Arabidopsis thaliana: one gene and its partners. The protein of the gene in region 3 interacts with the protein of the main gene of each other region in a pairwise test. Each region holds a gene or a part of one and is shown on either strand. Other genes may lie near its edges. The genes, in order: AT2G22230, AT1G49140, RTL1 and CP12-1.

Region 1 (4,919 bases), on a different chromosome or scaffold from region 3:
GGAGTCCTCAGAATACTTTTGTCCCCGGTCTTATCGAATTGGCTATATCGAAGAATTGTTTGATTGGTGGGGATGATTTCAAGAGTGGTCAGACTAAGATGAAATCCGTTTTGGTTGATTTCCTTGTTGGAGCTGGCATTAAGGTAATAGAATTAAAGCTTGTTTATCAAGTAACCTAACTTGCTTCTCTTCTGTTAGTGAAGGAACTAAGAATGGATTTTGTGGCAGCCTACTTCGATTGTGAGCTATAATCATTTGGGAAACAACGACGGGATGAACCTCTCAGCGCCACAGACTTTCCGCTCTAAGGAGATTTCAAAGAGCAATGTTGTAGACGACATGGTAGCTAGTAATGGCATCCTCTTTGAGCCTGGTGAACACCCTGACCATGTCGTTGTCATCAAGGTTTGATTTTGAATCAGAGGCCAGAGTGATCAATTCCTCCTTTCTTTTTAAGTACATTTTAAAGTCTTAAATCCTGCTATTGTTCTGAATGTTTTGCAGTATGTGCCATATGTTGCGGATAGTAAAAGAGCAATGGATGAGTACACGTCTGAGATATTCATGGGAGGGAGGAACACTATAGTGTTGCATAACACTTGTGAGGACTCTCTCTTGGCTGCACCAATTATCTTGGATCTTGTCCTTCTCGCTGAACTCAGCACCAGAATCCAATTTAAAGCTGAAGGAGAGGTTTGTATTCCGTTAGTTAGTTACCAAGAAACTCGAGATTGGTGAGTTTTTTTTTTTCATGTTTGAATCTATTCTCTTTCAGGGGAAGTTTCACTCTTTCCACCCGGTAGCTACCATACTCAGTTACCTCACAAAGGCACCTCTTGTACCGCCCGGAACACCGGTGGTTAACGCTCTGTCGAAGCAGCGGGCAATGCTGGAAAACATTCTTAGGGCATGTGTTGGGCTTGCGCCAGAGAACAACATGATCATGGAGTACAAGTGAAGGATGAGGAAGAAGAAGTAAAGGTACCTAAGATGACCTTAGGATATGAAGGACACTGCTCCATTGTTTCATTTATATATATCATTTTGTATGTATATTATATGAATGTGTGTGTGACGGATAATATGGATAAGCTTAGGGTTAACTTGTGTGATATGGATCTGGTCGGTTTATTTGGTGAGAAGATTAGCTAAGCTTTTGGATCAAATGTGTAAAAGATTTAAGTAATTATGCTTGTGTCTCCTTGTAATATAACCAAACTTATGATCTATGAATATGGATTTTCAAAATCAAAATCTCTGTATTTGTATCTTATGAATGTTCATAAATTGGAGACAGCAATAAAGACACGAAGGGCAAAAGTAGCTCATATAAATGTCGAAAACATAAAGCTGTCTTGTCTAGATTTTCGAATAACAGAAGAAGCATAAGAAGAGTCCACATGTGGGAAGTGAGACCATTAATGGGTGAGATCAAGAACTACCAGCAGAAACCATCATGAACTCGCCTTCACACACCAGAGCACCACCCACATAAGCTTTACCTTCCATTTTAGCGAGCCCGAACCGCTTCTGGAACTTGAGAAGAGTCATCCTCATGACTAGCGTGTCTCCTGCAATCACTGGTTTGCGAAATCTCACTTTATCAATACCAGCAAAGAAGAAGTTATCTTGAGAGCCTCCTACTTCCGGCTGCAGCATTACTATACCTCCGACTTGCGCCATTGCCTGCAATACACAAACTCTGACTTTTCAGTGAAATGATCTTCAAGACATTAATACTCAACCATATGGCGGTTATCTTTTTTATAGAGGATCTGTGATCCTCTATCGGGATTCAGAATCCAAAACCTCTACCAAATTAGCGAGATCATTAACCTCTTTCAAGCTTAAAGTTGCATATTTCTACTACGCAGACTCGAGTTTTCAGTATCAAAGCTGCAGATAGCTTCACACATTTTGGATCAAGTTTTTAGCAAAGTGAAGTTGAAGTCCCTCAACTATAATATACTCATCACTCTATCAGACCACAGAAGGACAATTCAATTACCAACCAGGTGAAGATCTCGCGCTAATCTATCAGGATTCAGAATCCAAACTAGCAGATCATTAACCTCTTATCATAGTTAACATCCATCTTCGATTAAAACAGTAGCGAACATTAAAGCATTTTGAAAGGAATACAACAGCTAACATATCAATTACAAAATATTTGATCTTCTTGAGGACAAAAGTTTGCAACTTTAAACGATTATTATTACCTCAATCATGAGAACACCAGGCATGATTGGTCGTTCAGGGAAATGGCCAGGGAAGAAATTGTCATTGATGGTGACATTCTTAATAGCTACAGCTGAAACACCAGGCGTATACTCTATCACTCTATCTACCAGCAGAAACGGAAACCTAAAATCCAAGAACCATAATGTCAAATTCCAGAAAGATCAAAACTTCAAACATGGGTTTCAACGAAAACTCATCAAATCACCGAAAGTTGAAGTCTTATGAATATTTTATACCTGTGAGGCAATATCTCTCTGATTTGGTTAATGTCCATTACCGTTGGAAATGCTGGGAATTCTGGGGATTAAGAGAAACAGATTGAGTAAGAGAATGACGAATGTCGGAAACATTAGAAATCGAGAGAAAAATCTTACTGAGTTCGATTGGTGTTTCCTTTTCGGTTGAGGTGCTATCGCCATTTGTTGAACAACGAAGCGTGAGAGAATTGGATCGCTTGTTGGGTGGGAGAGAAACAGAGTGAGATCTGGAGGAAGATAGATGGAGAGGTTGATGATGATGATGATGAATCAGTGAGTCAGAACTTAGGAAAAGTACCGAGTTAGAAGTAGTAGCCATTGTCGAGTAACAGTGAAGAGAGTTTAGAGAGAATGTGAGAGATGTTGTTTTTGCAGGTGAAGGAGCGGAGAGTACAAAGGTTTGTGTTAGTTGAAGCAGAGATAGTGACAAATTCATAGGTTTTGAATATATTCATACAATGGAAACAATATAACAAGTGGCCTATTAGCTCAGTTGGTTAGAGCGTCGTGCTAATAACGCGAAGGTCACAGGTTCGATCCCTGTATAGGCCATTTCTTTTTTTCTTTTTTTGGTCCTTCGTAGCCTTTTTTTGGAACAAACAAGGTTGACTGTTCCTTTTGATGAACCGAATCGAACCGCTAACCAAACTCATTTTAAAAAGTCACCGATTTTTACGATTTTAGAGTTGCATTTGTGCATAACCAAAGGCACATAGACTAGGTGCCAGTATATGAAATTTGTTCCAGTTGACTAATTTATAAAAAATAATCACATCTTTAGCTGGATCCACAAAATTAGGTCAGGGTTCATGACCTTTTTAGCATTGTTTTAGATTATCTTGACCATTAGTTGTGGTGAGAGTTGACAATTTAAAAAGTCAACTAGTTTTTAAAATTAAATACCATAACAAATGATGCTTAATATATATGCTTTAATGCTTATAGTTATTTAAACTTTATAAGTACCATAATTTTTTTTTTTTTTTTTCTCGATCTAACTCCATCTATTATTCTACGGATATAAGCTCTCCTCTAAAGAGAGCCAATCGGGAATCGTTGAACTTACATGGGAAAAACAGAATCCGTGTGCTCTTGCACATTTTGCAAGGTAATCTGCACGAATATTACTAGTTCGAGGAACGTAGTTAATATTTAAAGATACAAGTTTATCTCTAAAAATCTTGAAATCTTCTAGCTCCGATGCAAAATTAGGCCACTCCTCCGGGGTATTAACCATGGTGATAAGATCTGAGCAATCCGTCATAACTTGTACCCTCGATATCGACAATCCCACCATGCACTTCAAGGCCCAAACTAATGTGTCTAATTCCGCGTGAAGCGGTGATAAACAACGTCGTGATCCCTTCAATCCCAAGTGTAACAGTCTTTCCCCGATGTTCAATATCCACCCATGACCACTTCGAGGTTCAGATACATGCCACGACCCATCAATAAAGCACACTGGAACGTCCAAAGGTAAAATTGGGACTTGCAAACATGGCACCGTCTCCTCCACTTGCTCCTCTCTCATGTTGGCTCTCCTCCAAACTTCTTCCTCTTGGATTGCCAATCCTAAAGTGTCTTGAGGTTGGACGCAAATATTTTCAAAAATCTTTCGATTTCGCGCTTTCCAAATATACCACATGATCCACGGAAAAATCCGTAGGCTCTCCTCGCTAGCTCCAATCTCCTTTGCTCTCCAATACAAATAATCCAGATTATTGTATATAGAGGGCGACGGAAACCTAGATAGAGAGGAGGGAATACCGGACAAAGCCCAGACTTGTCTCGCTGGTGGACAATCAAATAGCAAATGGTTGATGGTTTCCTCATTAGCCCCACATCTGGGACACTTTTTATCTCTACCAATATGGCGAAAATGTAGTCGTTGACATGTTGCCAAACAACCTGACACACATTGCCACACAAAATGCTTAAGCTTTCGTGTAGTTTTTAACTTCCACGCTTGCGCCTTTAGTGCTGAAACACTAGGTCCCTGAAAAGGGTGGTCACAAGACGGGCGAGAGATAGCTCTCGCGGCTTCATATCCTGTCTTGACGGTATAATTACCTGATTTGGTCATAGTCCAACTATATCCATCTCGCGAGGCATTTAAGCTCGGTTTTATCCCTAAAATGAGGGTAATATCTTTGGGGGGGAAGAGCTCACGTAACCGATCTACTTTCCACTGTTTCGTTTCAAAATCAATCAAGGTATTTACATAGATCAGAGGTTTTCTATCCGTAGCTAGACCTTTCGGTGGTCTTGGGGAGATATCTGGGATCCATGGATCAGTCCAAATACAAGTCTCAAAACCCGACCCAATGGTCCTACGAATCCCGGCCTTGAGAACATGTTTGGCAGCAAGCATACTCCTCCAGCCATACGATGGCCGATTGGATACTGTAATCTCTAATGGGC
Region 2 (6,059 bases), about 12 Mb from region 3:
ACTGCGTGTTTGTTCAGACAAAGTTCGCAAGCTCGTGGCTGCTTGACATCTTCTTGGTACTTTGAAATCATAATTTCTGCGCAAAACATGAAAACAGAGATATGAGAAGAAATCAAAGTAGAAGAAGAAACTGGCACAAAAGGAGGTTTATCAGGAAACAGTAGAGTAATGGTTATATACTTTCTGAAATTTTGATATTTTGGTGACTTGTCATGGGCTAAGAACAAGAAAGATCTTAAAGTGAGAAAAAGGGGACAATGAAGAAGACAAGGGCTAAGAGGGATGGAGAATAATGGGCACTGACAAAGGAGCCTGCTTAGGTAGGTATATAATAATCTTTTTCGTTGGGATCAGACAAAGACATTTTCCTTTAGAATCTAGAAGATTTTTTCACTGACACTTCTTTCTTATGTCAGTAGGGACTAGAAATGACTTTTTAGCTCAAGTTTCCTTGAGTCTTGTTCTATACATGTTTAATATTCTTGAATCTTAACATTAAGGGTTAGTGAACATACTTATATAGAGTAGATTAGTCTTAAGAAAAGGTAGTAAAATTTGAGATGAGTAAACACTTGGTGTATTATTGAAGTTTGGCCATACCCATTTTTGGTTGGGTTGTACAAGGAAAAAAGACACTGTAGTGATGATTTGGCATCATGTACCGAAGTTGATCCATATCTTTGCGATCTTATTGGTTAGACTTGGATTATGTTTTTGGGTCTTTTATGGCTTCTTTTCCTTACCCATCTCTAAGTTTTATCTTTTTGTTTGTTAGTCTTTTGTTTTCTGACTCATTTTGTCTGTGGTCCTTACCTGTCTTTGTCACCATTTAACATATGGTAATAGACTCCGTAGATGTTTGAACTACTACTTAAAGGTTAATAAAAATTTCATGAACTATTTCAGAAATGAATCCATTTAGACAACACTAAAGAAGTAAAGATGTTCCTACAGTTTTGAAATAAAGGGAAAGTATGATGTTTTTAGAGTTAACTCTTTCTTAGTTTTATCAGATAAAGTCTTAAAAACATATACTAAGTTGCAAGCATGCAAAAAGGTACTTGGGAATTTCATTATTTCGACAAACAGGGACGCAATGTACAACAAGCCAAAAATATATATAAATCATTTGAAAAACGAAGCTGAGCTTAACCAATTGGAACTCCCAAGTCCAATTAGTAATATATGTTTTACGAAACAGAAAAGCATAAATCAAGTAACAACCTTGATGTGGAGCATTAACTTGCAACAGAGACTCCATTCATGTATGGTAATCAAAGCTCTCACTCACCTGTGTCATTGGAGCAAGAAAAAACCTTTAAAATCTTTGAACCAAATACAAAAATCATCAATCCAATTTGAACTTGAGATTTTGACTATATGCCTTAACCCTATTGGAACTATTGTTTAAACCAATCAAAACCTAAATGTTGGAGCTCTATCCTTCTTCATACAGTCCACAACATCTCATATCTCAAATAATTAATTCATCAATGAAATTCTGTGACTAGGTTTAGCTCTGTTGCAGATTAAAGATGGACGCAATTGCAAGCGGATTGGTATCTATAATATCGGCCCATATGTCTCCAAAATTGAGTCACTCCAAGATCTATCAATTTCATTTCTATACATTCCAAAACATGTCCTGTTTCTAAAACCACCGAAGAAAGTCCATGACTAAGCTTTAACCTTTGTGATTGCAGTCAGATTGATATCAATAATTAACCAGTGTATCCACAACTTCCGCAAAACTAAGTCACTCTAAGACCTGATCAGTTCATACATATAACTATCCAAACATCCATATTCCAATTTTCTCCTACCACAAACAGATTCACATAACATGTCCAGTTATAAGATAGTGTCTACACAAAGCATGCTAGAAAGTCTAACCTTTCTCCTCTTCTAAGCAATACACACTATATAACTAATCAACACCAGTTACTTACCAAAGATCAATCACGCACACAACATCATTCAGCTTCTTCAACAGCTACTGGCTTAGGACCTGGTTTGACAAAATCAATACAAACAAAAAAAATTCAATACATATATCTAAAGGAAGAATCAATTTCACAAAGGTATTCATGAAGAATTTTGAGACCACTCTACATCAAATTCAAATCAAATTCAATCAAACACACTAAAGAGTAACTGAATTCAAAATTCAAAGGCTAAGGAAAAAAACACGAAACCCTAAGAATTTCAATCTAAGCATTTTCACCAGTGTGAGAGAGAACGCCGGGAAAAAAACTCACCGTGAAGAGAGATAGGACGGTGGTCTTTGCCCCAACCAACGCCGCGAGTGGCATCGAGATACTGCTGAACAAGATGACGACACTTCTGGTAATGGTTAACGCCTTCGACGCGGTAACACCATTTGACCTTCTCACGTAAGATCTTAGCCTTCTCGATATGGATCCATTTCTCACGAACAATGTGTTCTCTCATCTCCACCATCGCAACCGGATCCTTGTACGGATTCTCAGGATCGAATCCATCCGGCGCCGACTCTTCGAACTCCGGCAATCCCTTCTTCCTCCCCATCGGATTTTTGATTTCTTTTGTTTCCGTCTGATTTTCCGACAATCAGGTAATGTTTTGTTGTTATTTTGGGCTTTTAATTCAATTAATGGGCCTCACCTCGGCCCAGATAAAGCTTGCTTAGTTGAAAAAATGAACAACGGGAAAAGTAAATAAAATAAAAGGAAAGGACTCTTGTGCCCCAAGCCAGAATATAAAAGACTCTTATAAATACCTTTCTTCCTAAGCAGCTGATTAGGGGTTTTTGCCGATCTCCAATTTCTCTCTTTTAACCTAGCTCTAGTGCGTTGTTCTACTAATCATCTTCTCCATGGACAATAAATCCGCAACCAAAGCTGAAGCATCTCCTTCTGTGATTAAGGACACGACGCCTACAGACAATTTGGAGAAAGATAAGAAAGACATGACGACTGAGATGAAAATATCTGATGCGATGGAGATGTTGGAAGGATTTGGTATTCGTCTTCATAAAATGGAAGAGAAGATGGATCTGTTGATCTCATTGTTTAGGTCAAATAATGAAGTTAAAATTGGCTCTGTAAAGCCCAGGCAGAGAGCATGTCTGTGGATGGATCATCTTCTGATGAGGAACCTTATAGCCGTTTTGGTACTCCTGTCTTTGGTCCTGGTGGTGGTCGTGGTCTTTTCGTCGGTGGTCGTTTTTCCGGTGGTCGTTGTGGCGGTCAAGGCTTTTGTAGACGTTCCTGTTGAGGTTTTGGTGGCGGAAGAAGAGACCTATTTTTGCTACTCAGCTTGAGCTTTGGTGTTTTAAACTTGTGATATAATGCAACCTCTTCAATAGTTAGGTTTTTCTTATGTTCTATAGTTACGGTTTGTCTGAATGTTAAGCCTCAATTTTGAGTGCTTTTGGTGTTAAATAAACACAATGAAAACAGGTTTATTTCTTATGAATAGAGGCAAGAAAATTGTGTATTCACTTTCTTGTTTTATCTCGAGAATAGTTTTACATATATACCTGATGAATGGTTTTATCTCAGCAATTAGTGCTTTATATAATGTAAATCCCAATTACCATTAGAAAATACTTTCTATTTTTTTTATGGAGGAAACTTTCTACACTTGCAATGAAACAAGTAAACAACAAAAGCTTTTTTCTCTTTGACCAAAACTAAAATAATAAAACATGGAAAAACAGAAAAGCAAAACAGAGGAATCCAAAACCAGAGTGTTGCTCTGTTGTTTACTTTACTCAACTTGTTGCATCTTCTTCTCGAAAAATCTATTTTTGGTCTCCATTGTTGCTTCTTCTCTTTTCCTCGTTATCTCTTTCATCTCTTCTCTGAACCGTTCTTCTATCTTTTCTAACTCCTCTTTTAACCTCTCATCTTCTTCTTCTTCCTCCAAGCTTCCTGGTTTCTCTGCTTCTTGATCTTCTGTTGTTGCAGCTACGGTCGGGTTTGCCTCATCATCGGATCGTGGGCAATAATCAGAGGACAAAGAGTGGCTAATGGATTCACCAGCTTGAGAACTTGCACCGTTTTGATGATTATCCTTGGAGCTCTGGTTCTGTTGCGGATGAATTAGATGATCGACAGCTACATCGGTTTTCCAATTCGGTATCAAATTGACGAGTAACACGTCAATCAATTCCGCTATAAACTTTACGTTTTTATCCGTCAATTCAAGCTGTTCAACCATCTCACTAGATACATTAGAAGCAGTGTCACCTTCTTGAAAGAATAGAAAATGAATGTTCCTCACACGCCCTACACGCCAAAAAGAAGACAAAACTAATCAAGTTTGGTATAATATGCAATTTTCCAAACGCAATTTTTGGCTGATTGTATATGCATCTAACATTTTCGGTGAAATGTTTTGTAAAATATAAACGCAAAAGACTCTTACCATTTTCATCGACTATACGAAGAATTAATGAGACAGAGTTCTCATCATTCTCTTCACCTTTAAGGACAAAAAAGTTTCCTCGCTTTGCCCGTCTAACCTCAATACAGTTTGTTCCTGAATTGTTGCTTGAAATAACAATAGGAAGGTTATTGTCTTCGTCAAGATTCATTGACATCGTTCTATTCCGAGCATTAGGTGGTCCTTCAGACATAAGACAACGTTCACCGAATGATCCTTCTTTCGGCATTACAATGTCGGGAAGCGGTAATGGATTGTTCATAACTAAACCGTTCACATTGAGAAAAGAATCCAATAAAAGCTCCTCTGCCGATAACCTTTCGGAAGCTGGCAATAAACATTTCTCGATAAATTTCATTACCTCTGGATCTTTAACCTTTGATAGTGAAGCTGGTTTGATCCCCTAAGTAAAGAATACAAAAAAAAGACTCACCAAGTAAGTTATCCATTCATATTATCATATATTGTTCGATATCATAAAACCAATGGTAGAAACAATTTGAAAATATCGAACTTACCGATGAAACTTTCTTGTAGATTTGAGCAGAGTTTCTACACTCACAATAAGGATATTCAAAAGTCACCATTTCCAACATACACATCCCGAACGAATATATATCAGCGAGCTCGTTGTAGTTCTCATCGTAAAGCTCAGGCGCCATAAACTCCGGTGTTCCTGTTGGTTATAACATAACACTATCAATTTAGATCCTAAAAAAAACAAAGAAAAACGAATTTGTAAACTATATAAAAGAAAAAGCATTGCTCATACCAATCACACTTTTGGCATTAGCTTGTTCCATGACAGTAGCTAAACCAAGATCTCCTATTTTCACTTCTCCATGATTACCGTTGATAAAAATGTTGTCACATTTGATATCTCGGTGTATTATCGGCGGATCTTGACTATGTAGATATTTCAATCCCGTTAAAATCTGTCTCGCCCAACACTTGACAGCCTTCATATTCACCTTTCTATGTTTCTTACGGTACCTTCAAGAAAACCAAGATTTCGCTGCTTTAAACACAACTCCAAAACCGCTATTTTCGCGGCGACATAACAAGATAGTATAAAAATGAGCAAAATACATACTGCCGGAGACTTCCTGAAGTGAACAACTCGGTAATTATGTTAACCGTCTTGTTCTTGTCATCGATCCACGAGTTATAAAACCTTATGATGTTTTTATGCTTCAGAGATTTCAAAAGCCGCACTTCGGAATATAGCCTCTCTAGACAATCTGGTGATTGCAAAAGATCGTCGATCCTTACTTGATTCCACGCTACTTCAATCCCATCTACTTCGTCGAATCCCTTAAAACTGATTATTTGTTCAAGAGAGTTAAAGAAATAATGAATTTCATATCCTCTCGTAGCACAAACTATGATGTCACATAACACAGAATAACAGATTGTAAAACAAAAACAGAGATTATGTAAAGAAAAACAGAGAAAGGGATACACTGTCTTGGATGCGCCTTTGCCTATTACTTCTTTGTACTGAAAGGTTTACACATTTGAATGTGTCAAGGGAAAACAAAATGGAGAAACAGGGCATATTTGGTCGAGCCTAATATTTGGTAACAAAGAATTAAAACAATTATGGAAGAGATAAAGGTGAAGTAGTTACC
Region 3 (5,099 bases):
TACCTACAAGTTAGTATCGTGAGCCAAGCGCTTATCTTTGTAACAAGGTCGCGAAGCTGGTCATATGTTGAACGTCCTGGCTTCTGGTTGATCTCTGCCTTTTTCATGGCTCAGCTGGTAAGTTAAAGATTCAGTACTCTTACATAAGAAGCTTCAGTATATACTGACACTGTTGTTGTTTTCATTCCAAGATTGCTACTTTGATTGCGGTATACGCAAACTGGAATTTTGCAAGAATCAGAGGTATTGGGTGGGGATGGGCAGGAGTTATCTGGCTCTATAGTATAGTCTTCTACATCCCATTGGATATCCTCAAGTTCATCATCAGATATTCACTGAGTGGAAGAGCATGGGATAATGTCATTGAGAACAAGGTTTGCTTCTCAGGCCAATACTGATGAGAACAAGAACACAGTAGTATAATCCTTTTTCCTAACCTTTGTTCCTCTGTTCAGACCGCTTTCACGTCAAAGAAAGACTACGGAAAGGGAGAGAGAGAAGCACAATGGGCACAAGCGCAACGTACACTTCACGGATTGCAGCCAGCTCAAACCTCAGATATGTTCAATGACAAGAGCACTTACAGAGAGCTTTCAGAGATAGCTGATCAAGCCAAGAGACGAGCTGAAGTTGCAAGGCAACGCTCAAGTAACTGATTATTCCATACCATTAGGTTCCTCAGAAAATGGGCTTACAAACATTTCTTGTCTTGTAAATTTCAGGTTAAGGGAACGTCACACCTTGAAAGGTCACGTGGAATCAGTAGTGAAGCAGAAGGGACTAGACATTGAGGCTATCCAGCAACACTATACCCTGTGATTTCAGAAACAAGTGTTTCTCAGTTTAGTTTTAGAACCCCACAAGAGTATTGAATAAATAACCACTTCCATAATTAGAGAATGCTGCAAAAAGAAAATTGTTTCTTTTGTTAGCAGTGGATGTGGCTTCTTCTTTTTTTATATTTTTGAGATATTCTTGTTTTTTCCTTTTTTACAAGAGTAATAAGATCTTACAATTACTTAGAATTCTTGAGTAAGTTTCTTCTAGTCTCTGTCCGCGCAAGAGAGAATGCAACAAAACCAAAAAAAAAAAGAATGCTCAAATCTTAGTTGCAAATGAGAAAAATCAGTGTTTCAAATCTCACTGAACTGAATTCCCTCCTTCAGTCTAACCAGACAAAGTCTCCAAAGCTTTCTCTAACTTGGATGACTTGAGCTCTTCTATTCCATAAACATAAAGATAAAGATAAAGGCTCCTTACTAAGGAGAAATATAATGGCACAAAGTTTGAAAGAAAAGTTCTGATACAGATCAAAACTGTTACAACCCATAGAGCTATAATGAATTAAAAGATAGGTATAATATGGTTCAAGCTTCCCTCGTTAGAACTAACTATAGATGGCTTTACTAAACTCTCCAGCTACTTCATATCGACTAAATGATGATTTACTGATGCGGCTTTGTCTTCACATGCTCAAGATACCAAAGCGCTCCTTCTGCTGCATGCTCAGCAGCAGCTTTCTTTTTGCGTCTGGGATCCCCAAAACACTCCAAAACAGTTTTCCCTGAAGAATCTCTAATCTCAACCATAACTTTGTATGTAAATCTGAACCAAAAAACCAAGTTGATGCAAAAAAGATTGCGACTCAAAAAATAAAAGCAAGTGCAGGTTAGAAGATGTTTACTTACAATCTCAAATGGCAAGGTCCATCAACATTGCAGCATTCATAAACAGGAGGTCTCCAACGCTTGGAAGCACACATTTCGTGTAACACCGATTTAGCTGAGCCTCTCCTAGTCTTAGATTCATCATCTGGAACACAAATTTCAGAACAAAATGACCAAAATTCTATCTTCTATACCAAAAATTGCAATCTCTGTTGGTTTCCGAACAAGTTTACATCATAATTAGCAAAAGAGGTGAAGAAAAAATGAATGAACCTTTAGATATGGGTTTGGTGGTGGTGGTGTGTTCTTCATCTGGTTTAGGAGCAAGCTTCTTCTCTAGTGAAATGCTTCTTGTGCTGTTAGGATCAATTTGAATGTTAGAGAAGGAAGAAATGGCATTGTCTTCTTCTTCAAACTTGAAGTCAGTCTTCTCTTGGAATCTCTGCATTCCCACATTATGATGATCTTGCGCCATTGGTTTCTAACAATTGACAGAAGCAAAGTTGAGATATTTATTACTATTAACCCATGATATAGCCAAATCACAGAAGAAGAATCATCTACAAATAGAAAACGCAGAGATTGTTCTCTGTTTCAAACCCAGATGATCAATTTTTTTGTTAGCGAGAAAGAAGAGAATATGGTTGGAGTGAATGAATATTTACCATAGAGGGAATAGAAGAAGGGTCGAGAGGAGGAATATCTTTGAGACTGATGATGATCGATCTTGACGGTTTTTTGGTTATCCGCTTCGTTTCCTGATCCTCCATCTTTCATATTACTACTCCTTGTCTAATTCCCAGATATCTTTCTTTGGGAATCGAGAAATTGAAAATTTTATCGATCATCGACAAAACGGATAAGGTTCATTAATTAATTCATTTCCCCACAACAACAAACTCTGTTATAAAAAGTCAACGTTTTTATTTATTTATATGTTAAAGCTTTTAAACCTTTAACTTTTACTAACCAAACTCTACTAACTTGTCTCTCGGTTCCATTTAAGCAAAACTTCCGAATTTTTTGTAGCAGTGATTAAACATACAACAATAAATTCTCCGGAAGAACCAACATAAGAGACAAATTCATAAACGCATTGATCTGTTACAAGAAAAAAAAAAAGAAAGGGGAAATGTTTTTTTATAAAATCCGCAATGATCCACCGAGTTCTACTGGTAGAAGAGGGATGAGTGAGTGCAAGACATCGGTTATAAGTGGTCTGTAACTTGGCTCCGGCTGTACACACAACACCGCCACCGCAGCTACCTGTCCAAAGAAAATATAACACAAAGTTCAAAGAGGAATCTTTTTCCTTCTATATTTGGCTAATGTGTTTTTCGTAAAATCTGTGTGAGATTTTGTTGAAGCTTTTTTACCTGATATAGATGCTTCAAATCCATGGTTCCTTTGATTGCAGGATCCAATATGTTTGGTAGATTAGCTCTATCACTCAGCTTAGGTACTGCCTGATGATCAACAAAGATCACAAGTCAGAGGATTTCCTGCTAAACGAAGCCACTATCTCGTGAAAGTTTTATTATGTACCCAAGTAACGATGGATTCTGGTTCAGAAGACGGTTTCTCCACTGATTTCTTCCCGAGGAGAAGTTCGAGCAGGATCACTCCAAATGAGTAGACATCATTCTTGTCTGTAACTTTCCCTGAAAGATGATTACAGAATGGTCGAAATTTGAGCATCTCGTTTGGCATATATGTCAAGATCGAACCCCGAAAAAAGATTAACTCCTTACCATCAAGAAGATCCTCAGAAGCCTTGTGTATCAGGTTTTTATTCTGCGTGGTCAAAACCGTGGCAAACCCAAAATCGGATATCTAAAGAGAAGCAAATGTGGCAACAGATCCTTAAGACTCATATTGTATGGAGAATACAATAAGTCTAAGAAGAATTTTCTACATTATATCATTTTCTCTTTTACCTTTGCATTGAAATCGGAGTCCAGAAGGATGCTAGATGATTTCAAATCTCTGTGAACTACAGGAGGATGGCAATGCTCGTGAAGATACTCTAATCCTCTTTATGAAAAAAGAATACTTTGTAAGCATACAAATATATGTTCTTGGAGATCACATGGAACTACTAAATGTTTGAAAGTATTATCAATGAATGGACTTTACCTCGCTATATCAACCGCTATCTTCATCCTGAGCTGCCAAGTTAAACCTGAACCTTGACTAGGCCCTTAGAGCATTCAAAAGCACAACAAAATCAAAATCAGATGACAAAAGATGGAACAAACATGGATCATATCCCCTTACCATGTAACTGACTCTCCAAAGATCCATTCTGCATCAACTCATACACAATACAACTCGTTTGCCGATATACGCAAAACCCCAATAAGGAAACTATGTTCTGATGCCTGATCTTAGCCAACCAATCTACTTCAGTCTGCATTAGAAAATCAACAAGAGAAAGCAAAAAACCGAGTTATGGTTTATCGAATGAGATGGTGCGATTCTGTATAATCATCTTAGGGGTCAAACCTCAAACTGTTTTTCAATGTCTGTCTCCCCACCGCCATCAAGTTTCTTCACAGTGACTGAGGATTTTTCATCGAGACAAGCTCTGTAAAGGCATCCACGACCACCTCGGCTCAACACATTACTATCACTAAACTTGTTTGTTGCAGATTCCAGCAATTGATATTCATACACAGGGATGGTTCCTTTCCTCACAGAATCAATCTTGTGTACAGTCGGTTTCGTGGTTACACTCTTCACCGAATCTTCAGATAACCAAAGCACCAAAATAAGCCATAACAAAACCAAGGAAATTACAAAAATATAAAGAGATAGAATTGAATACCGGATTTGCGTTTGATACCGGTGAAGCTGTTCTTCATATTCCTGTACCTCCATAGCAAGAGATACACAAGGAACATGACTGTGACACAGAGCAGAGATGATGAGACTATAAGAGCAATTAGAATCTTCTTGTTCAAGTCCTGGCGAAGCACCACTTTAACAATGGGAGGTCCTGAGCAAAGTTAAATTTAAATAAGGGATAAAATTCAATTTATTTGCTTAATTATCGGAAAGTTTTCAGTTTTAATTGGGAAACAGTATCAATTCAACTAAATTCAATTCCTTTATGAAAGTATGAGCAAACACATTTCGACAATTTCAAGAACTAGTAAGACCCAATCACCAAATATTGATATTTTTGTTCTTAGGGGCAACATGGAGAAAATTTGGAAAGGGGAAACTAATAAGTACCTGGGGATTGAGCTCCCATTCGTGGAGAAGCCTGAGAAATGGGGATTTCGGGGGAAGCACCAGAAACGTAGACAACGGAAGATTCTTGTGATTTAGTAGCAGTGGAGAAGAAGAAGAAACCAAGAAGAACCCAAATGGGTAGCAAATGACGAAGGAGACACATATTTAATTTTGTTGTCTGGTATCAACAAATAT
Region 4 (4,256 bases), on a different chromosome or scaffold from region 3:
GAAGAAGAGTAGCAACAACGTTACATTCTGCGAATTGTGTGCGCGTCTCCTGGTCCTGGTTAGACATCGGCCAGGTCGAGCGAACAAGGAAGAACGAAACAACAAGACCACTGACTCTTCTTTTTCTTTTTTTCTTACCGCTGTGAGATTTTTCTGGAAAATCTGGAAAATACAAATTTGAGAATAGGAAACAACAATACGTAAGAGTTTTAATAAGCAAAAAAAAAAATCTTATGTGTGAGAAGACAGATACACCCCTTACTTGTTGTTGCATTTTCTTAAACCGCGTGAGAATTATAGGGGTATAATTGACTCTTTAGCGGCTGGGCCGACAAATAGATCGGCTTAATTTTTGTTGTTTTCTTACAAATTCATATATAACCTTTTTACCTTCAGATTTTAACTGGTGATACCGTGCCGATGCATTTTTCTTGTTAAAATCTACTTTTCTGAACCGCCAAAAATATATATAAGTGAACGAATTCAAATTTGCAAAATAACACAGAAGAGCATCAAACAAGCACACTCGTATCATTTACTTTAGATTAATCAATTTAATGCTAGAAGATAAACGATTTTGAATTCATTCACTTAACTTCACAAATTTTGTTATCAAACAATAAAATTGTATACATTTCAGGTGTTTTTTTTTTTGTCAAATTATTTAGTTCACTTATTCCTTAATATATTTACTGTTTCTCATCACCTTGAGGCTGGCCACAAACTGGTTCTATTCTATATGTCAAATTTGTACATCGGCCCATGCTTGATAAAGCCCATTACACTGCATCAACATAATTACATGGGCTTGTTTGTTGTTACCCATCTTGTTGAAACCAAAGATTAATTCCCATACCAGCAAGGCAGCAATTTTAAAACCGTCTAAGAAACTCTCGATCAATTCATCTTTCTCTCGGCTCAACGTCGTTTTGACACATACATCTCCACATCCACAAAAAAATAATAAGGAACGTATGCGAGTGACCTAAGATCATCTCAGCCTCATCTAAACTTAATTGAGTTTTTTATTATCAATTTCACGAAACTGCAAATGTAATCGAACCAAACACATTATGAAACATATGTTGTGTATTGTACTATTCATATTCATTTATCACATTACAATCATCAACCAAACCAAAAACACAAACATAACAACAAGGGACAAGAAGAACAAACATTGATCCATACCTAAAGTTTCATAATTCGAACATCAAAAACATATTTTTTAATTATCATAAGTACGACACTCATCAGTCTCAGGATTATCATTGCAATACTCTTCCAAAGGATCGGAGCCACCAGCTTTCTTCTTGTCCCTAGCATGACTCGCCGCCGCACTCAGCTCCTCCACCTCGTCCCAAGCCGCTACACACTCCCCGCTCACCGGATCATCAGCGCATGTCTCCTTAGCTTCTTGTATACTCTTCTCCACCTTCTCCGATATCTCTCCTTCCGATGTAGCCTTAACCACAACCATCCGCTTCATCGAACCGAATTTCCACGGGTAATTCAACCGGACCGGACCTAATACACGAGCCACAGGTCGAACGACCACTCGTGGAGTCGCGACGTTGAGGCCAGCTGCAGCTATGGTTGTCATCGTCGGAGGATTTTGATGGAGGAGAAAAGTTTTTTGATGTGAAGAGATGAAGAAGATAAAATATACTCGTTCACGTTATTAAACTCTGTGAACACAATCCTCTTATCTTCTAAGAACCAAGCATATTTTGCCACGTGTACTTAGATTTTTTCACAAAAAGTAGTATTCTACCAATTTGAGAAACATAAGTTTTTCCCCGGAATATTTATTTTATCAGCCGTTGAACATTTTTTCTTGAAAATTATAGAAGCTTTTTTTTTAATTTTTGACTGAAATAATAAAAATTTGTTATCATTTTCTCTTCTGTAATTTTCATAGACATAAACTTCTCATGAAAAGTAGCATAATAAATTAATAATTACTATATTTTTGAGTATTTCATTTTGTTGAGAAAAAGGGGGAGGACGACTGACTTATAATGGGCCATATTCCAGGAAATAAGCGCTAGTTGGGCCATAGATAAGGCCCACATAAGCAGTGACCACTACCGATATTTTTCCTGATATTTTTTGTTTTCCTGGTTAAAAATACATACAGATACAGTCGTCGTTTTGATTAGTGAACCGTCGAATAGAAAAAGAGAGAATCATTCAGAGCACTTTAAAAAGGTTAAAAAAGTCAAGTATTAAAAAAAGATGATGCGCTTTCATAAAGCTTGTCATCGTTTCTCTCTTTCACCTCTCTGCCATTTATCTCCGCCGTCTCCGTCACCGGCTTCTTCTCTCCTTCTACTTCCCAAGCTTTCCGGATTCTCGACTCTGAGTACACGACGTTGCGTAAGAGTTCGCCGATTCTCCGAAAACCCGTTGACCACTGTCATGGCTTCACGTTCTGCTTCTAGGCTTCGTTCTCTCGCATCTGCCTGTTCTGGAGGTGCTGAAGACGGTGGTGGAACCTCTAATGGCTCCCTATCAGCCTCTGCTACTGCAACTGAAGATGATGGTAACTTGGATTTGAATATTTTTGTGTATAGAGTTACTTGTCACTGGAATTGAAATCTGAGAAATCGTTTTTGATTGTTTGTTTGTGTGTTGAACTATGTAGAATTGGCTATAGGCACTGGATATCGTCTGCCTCCACCTGAGATCAGAGATATTGTAGATGCTCCACCAGTCCCGGCTTTATCATTTTCACCACATAGGGATAAGATATTGTTTCTCAAGCGGAGAGCATTGCCTCCGCTCGCAGATTTAGCTAGACCAGAGGAGAAGCTTGCTGGTGTTCGAATTGATGGATACTGCAATACCAGAAGCAGAATGTCATTCTATACTGGTTTAGGAATCCATCAGTTATTGCCTGATGGTACATTGAGTCCTGAGAAGGAGATCACTGGCATTCCAGATGGTGGTAAGATTAACTTTGTTACATGGTCCAATGACGGTAAGCATCTGGCTTTCAGCATCCGGGTCGATGAGAACGGAAATAGTAGTAAGCCAGTGGTATGGGTAGCTGATGTTGAGACTGGAGTAGCTAGACCATTGTTTAACTCGCAAGATATTTTTCTGAATGCGATTTTTGAGAGTTTTGTTTGGATTGATAATTCCACTTTGTTGGTGAGCACAATCCCTTCATCTCGTGGAGAACCACCAAAGAAACCTTTGGTGCCATCTGGTCCCAAAACTCTGTCAAACGAGACGAAGACTGTTGTCCAAGTTAGAACATTCCAAGATTTGCTTAAGGATGAGTATGATGCTGATTTATTTGACTACTACGCTTCATCACAACTAGTATTGGCTTCTTTGGATGGTACTGTGAAGGAAGTAGGGGTTCCTGCAGTGTATACATCGTTAGACCCTTCGACAGACCATAAGTACTTGTTGGTGTCATCACTTCACAGGCCATATTCCTTCATTGTACCTTGTGGTAGATTTCCAAAGAAGGTGGAAGTCTGGACAACTGATGGTAGATTTGTAAGACAGCTATGTGACTTGCCCTTGGCTGAAGATATCCCCATTGCCTCCAATAGTGTGCGGAAAGGAATGCGTTCAATAAACTGGCGAGCAGACAAGCCTTCAACCCTCTACTGGTATATATTTGAGATTCAAAGTGAATCACATGTAGTACACGTGCCAAAATGGGATTTGGAAGTAATTAATTTACAACTCTTCTGAGATATGTAGGGCAGAAACACAAGATGGAGGTGATGCCAAAATGGAAGTTTCACCGCGTGATATAGTTTATATGCAGTCTGCTGAACCATTGGCAGGAGAAGAACCAGAAGTGTTACACAAGCTCGATCTTCGTTATGGGTAACAACTAAAAACACAGCAGATATTGTAGATTACTTATGCCATCTTATCAACAAACTGACTAACTTCATCAAAGCCTTCTATGTCCTAACATTGATCCGATTTCAATTCTGCAGAGGGATTTCTTGGTGTGATGATACATTAGCTCTGGTTTATGAATCATGGTATAAAACACGACGAACAAGGACGTGGGTTATCTCTCCTGGATCTAACGATGTCAGTCCACGCATCTTGTTTGATAGATCATCGGAAGATGTGTACTCAGACCCTGGCTCAACCATGCTGAGAAGGACCGATGCTGGAACGTATGTAATAGCAAAGATAAAGAAGGAAAATGATGAAGGCACTTATGTATTACTGAACGGAAGTGGGGCTACACCACAAGGGAATGTGCCCTTCCTTGA

The links.
Region 1: the proteins of RTL1 (region 3) and AT2G22230 interact in a two-hybrid assay, tested with the Arabidopsis thaliana proteins (one large-scale study listed by BioGRID).
Region 2: the proteins of RTL1 (region 3) and AT1G49140 interact in a two-hybrid assay, tested with the Arabidopsis thaliana proteins (one large-scale study listed by BioGRID).
Region 4: the proteins of RTL1 (region 3) and CP12-1 interact in a two-hybrid assay, tested with the Arabidopsis thaliana proteins (one large-scale study listed by BioGRID).

Annotation. Positions count from the first base shown.
Region 1 is NC_003071.7:9,447,940-9,452,858, reverse strand, and holds AT2G22230 (Thioesterase superfamily protein), read right to left. Parts: upstream 2,930-4,919; 5' UTR 2,818-2,929; coding exon 2,616-2,817; intron 2,539-2,615; coding exon 2,478-2,538; intron 2,365-2,477; coding exon 2,220-2,364; intron 1,687-2,219; coding exon 1,432-1,686; 3' UTR 1,236-1,431; downstream 1-1,235. Other genes in the region: MIPS2 (myo-inositol-1-phosphate synthase 2), read left to right, coding at 1-143, 229-405, 505-693, 776-958.
Region 2 is NC_003070.9:18,175,723-18,181,781, forward strand, and holds AT1G49140 (NADH dehydrogenase ubiquinone 1 beta subcomplex subunit 10-B-like protein (Complex I subunit NDUFS6)), read right to left. Parts: upstream 3,543-6,059; 5' UTR 3,302-3,542; coding exon of another isoform or gene 2,855-3,301; 5' UTR 2,759-2,854; exon of another isoform or gene 2,757-2,758; intron 2,659-2,756; exon of another isoform or gene 2,575-2,658; 5' UTR 2,548-2,574; coding exon 2,259-2,547; intron 2,009-2,258; coding exon 1,974-2,008; 3' UTR 1,950-1,973; intron 1,292-1,949; 3' UTR 1,050-1,291; downstream 1-1,049. Other genes in the region: BBX17 (B-box type zinc finger protein with CCT domain-containing protein), read right to left, coding at 1-76, 181-214; AT1G49150 (uncharacterized protein), read left to right, coding at 2,855-3,301; WNK7 (Protein kinase superfamily protein), read right to left, coding at 3,751-4,271, 4,411-4,831, 4,947-5,104, 5,201-5,421, 5,522-5,928, 6,059-6,059. UniProt on the Arabidopsis thaliana protein: Accessory subunit of the mitochondrial membrane respiratory chain NADH dehydrogenase (Complex I), that is believed not to be involved in catalysis. Complex I functions in the transfer of electrons from NADH to the respiratory chain.
Region 3 is NC_003070.9:30,311,947-30,317,045, reverse strand, and holds RTL1 (RNAse THREE-like protein 1), read right to left. Parts: upstream 2,525-5,099; 5' UTR 2,438-2,524; coding exon 2,333-2,437; intron 2,149-2,332; coding exon 1,941-2,148; intron 1,813-1,940; coding exon 1,689-1,812; coding exon of another isoform or gene 1,685-1,688; exon of another isoform or gene 1,606-1,684; coding exon 1,446-1,605; 3' UTR 1,044-1,445; downstream 1-1,043. Other genes in the region: HA9 (H[+]-ATPase 9), read left to right, coding at 1-117, 192-374, 456-637, 723-819; AT1G80640 (Protein kinase superfamily protein), read right to left, coding at 2,808-2,933, 3,044-3,133, 3,213-3,328, 3,419-3,500, 3,605-3,701, 3,804-3,867, 3,945-4,077, 4,173-4,414 and 2 more.
Region 4 is NC_003071.7:19,444,236-19,448,491, reverse strand, and holds CP12-1 (CP12 domain-containing protein 1), read right to left. Parts: upstream 1,763-4,256; 5' UTR 1,604-1,762; coding exon 1,229-1,603; 3' UTR 850-1,228; downstream 1-849. Other genes in the region: AT2G47390 (Prolyl oligopeptidase family protein), read left to right, coding at 2,239-2,545, 2,648-3,629, 3,724-3,852, 3,969-4,256. UniProt on the Arabidopsis thaliana protein: Acts as a linker essential in the assembly of a core complex of PRK/GAPDH. Coordinates the reversible inactivation of chloroplast enzymes GAPDH and PRK during darkness in photosynthetic tissues.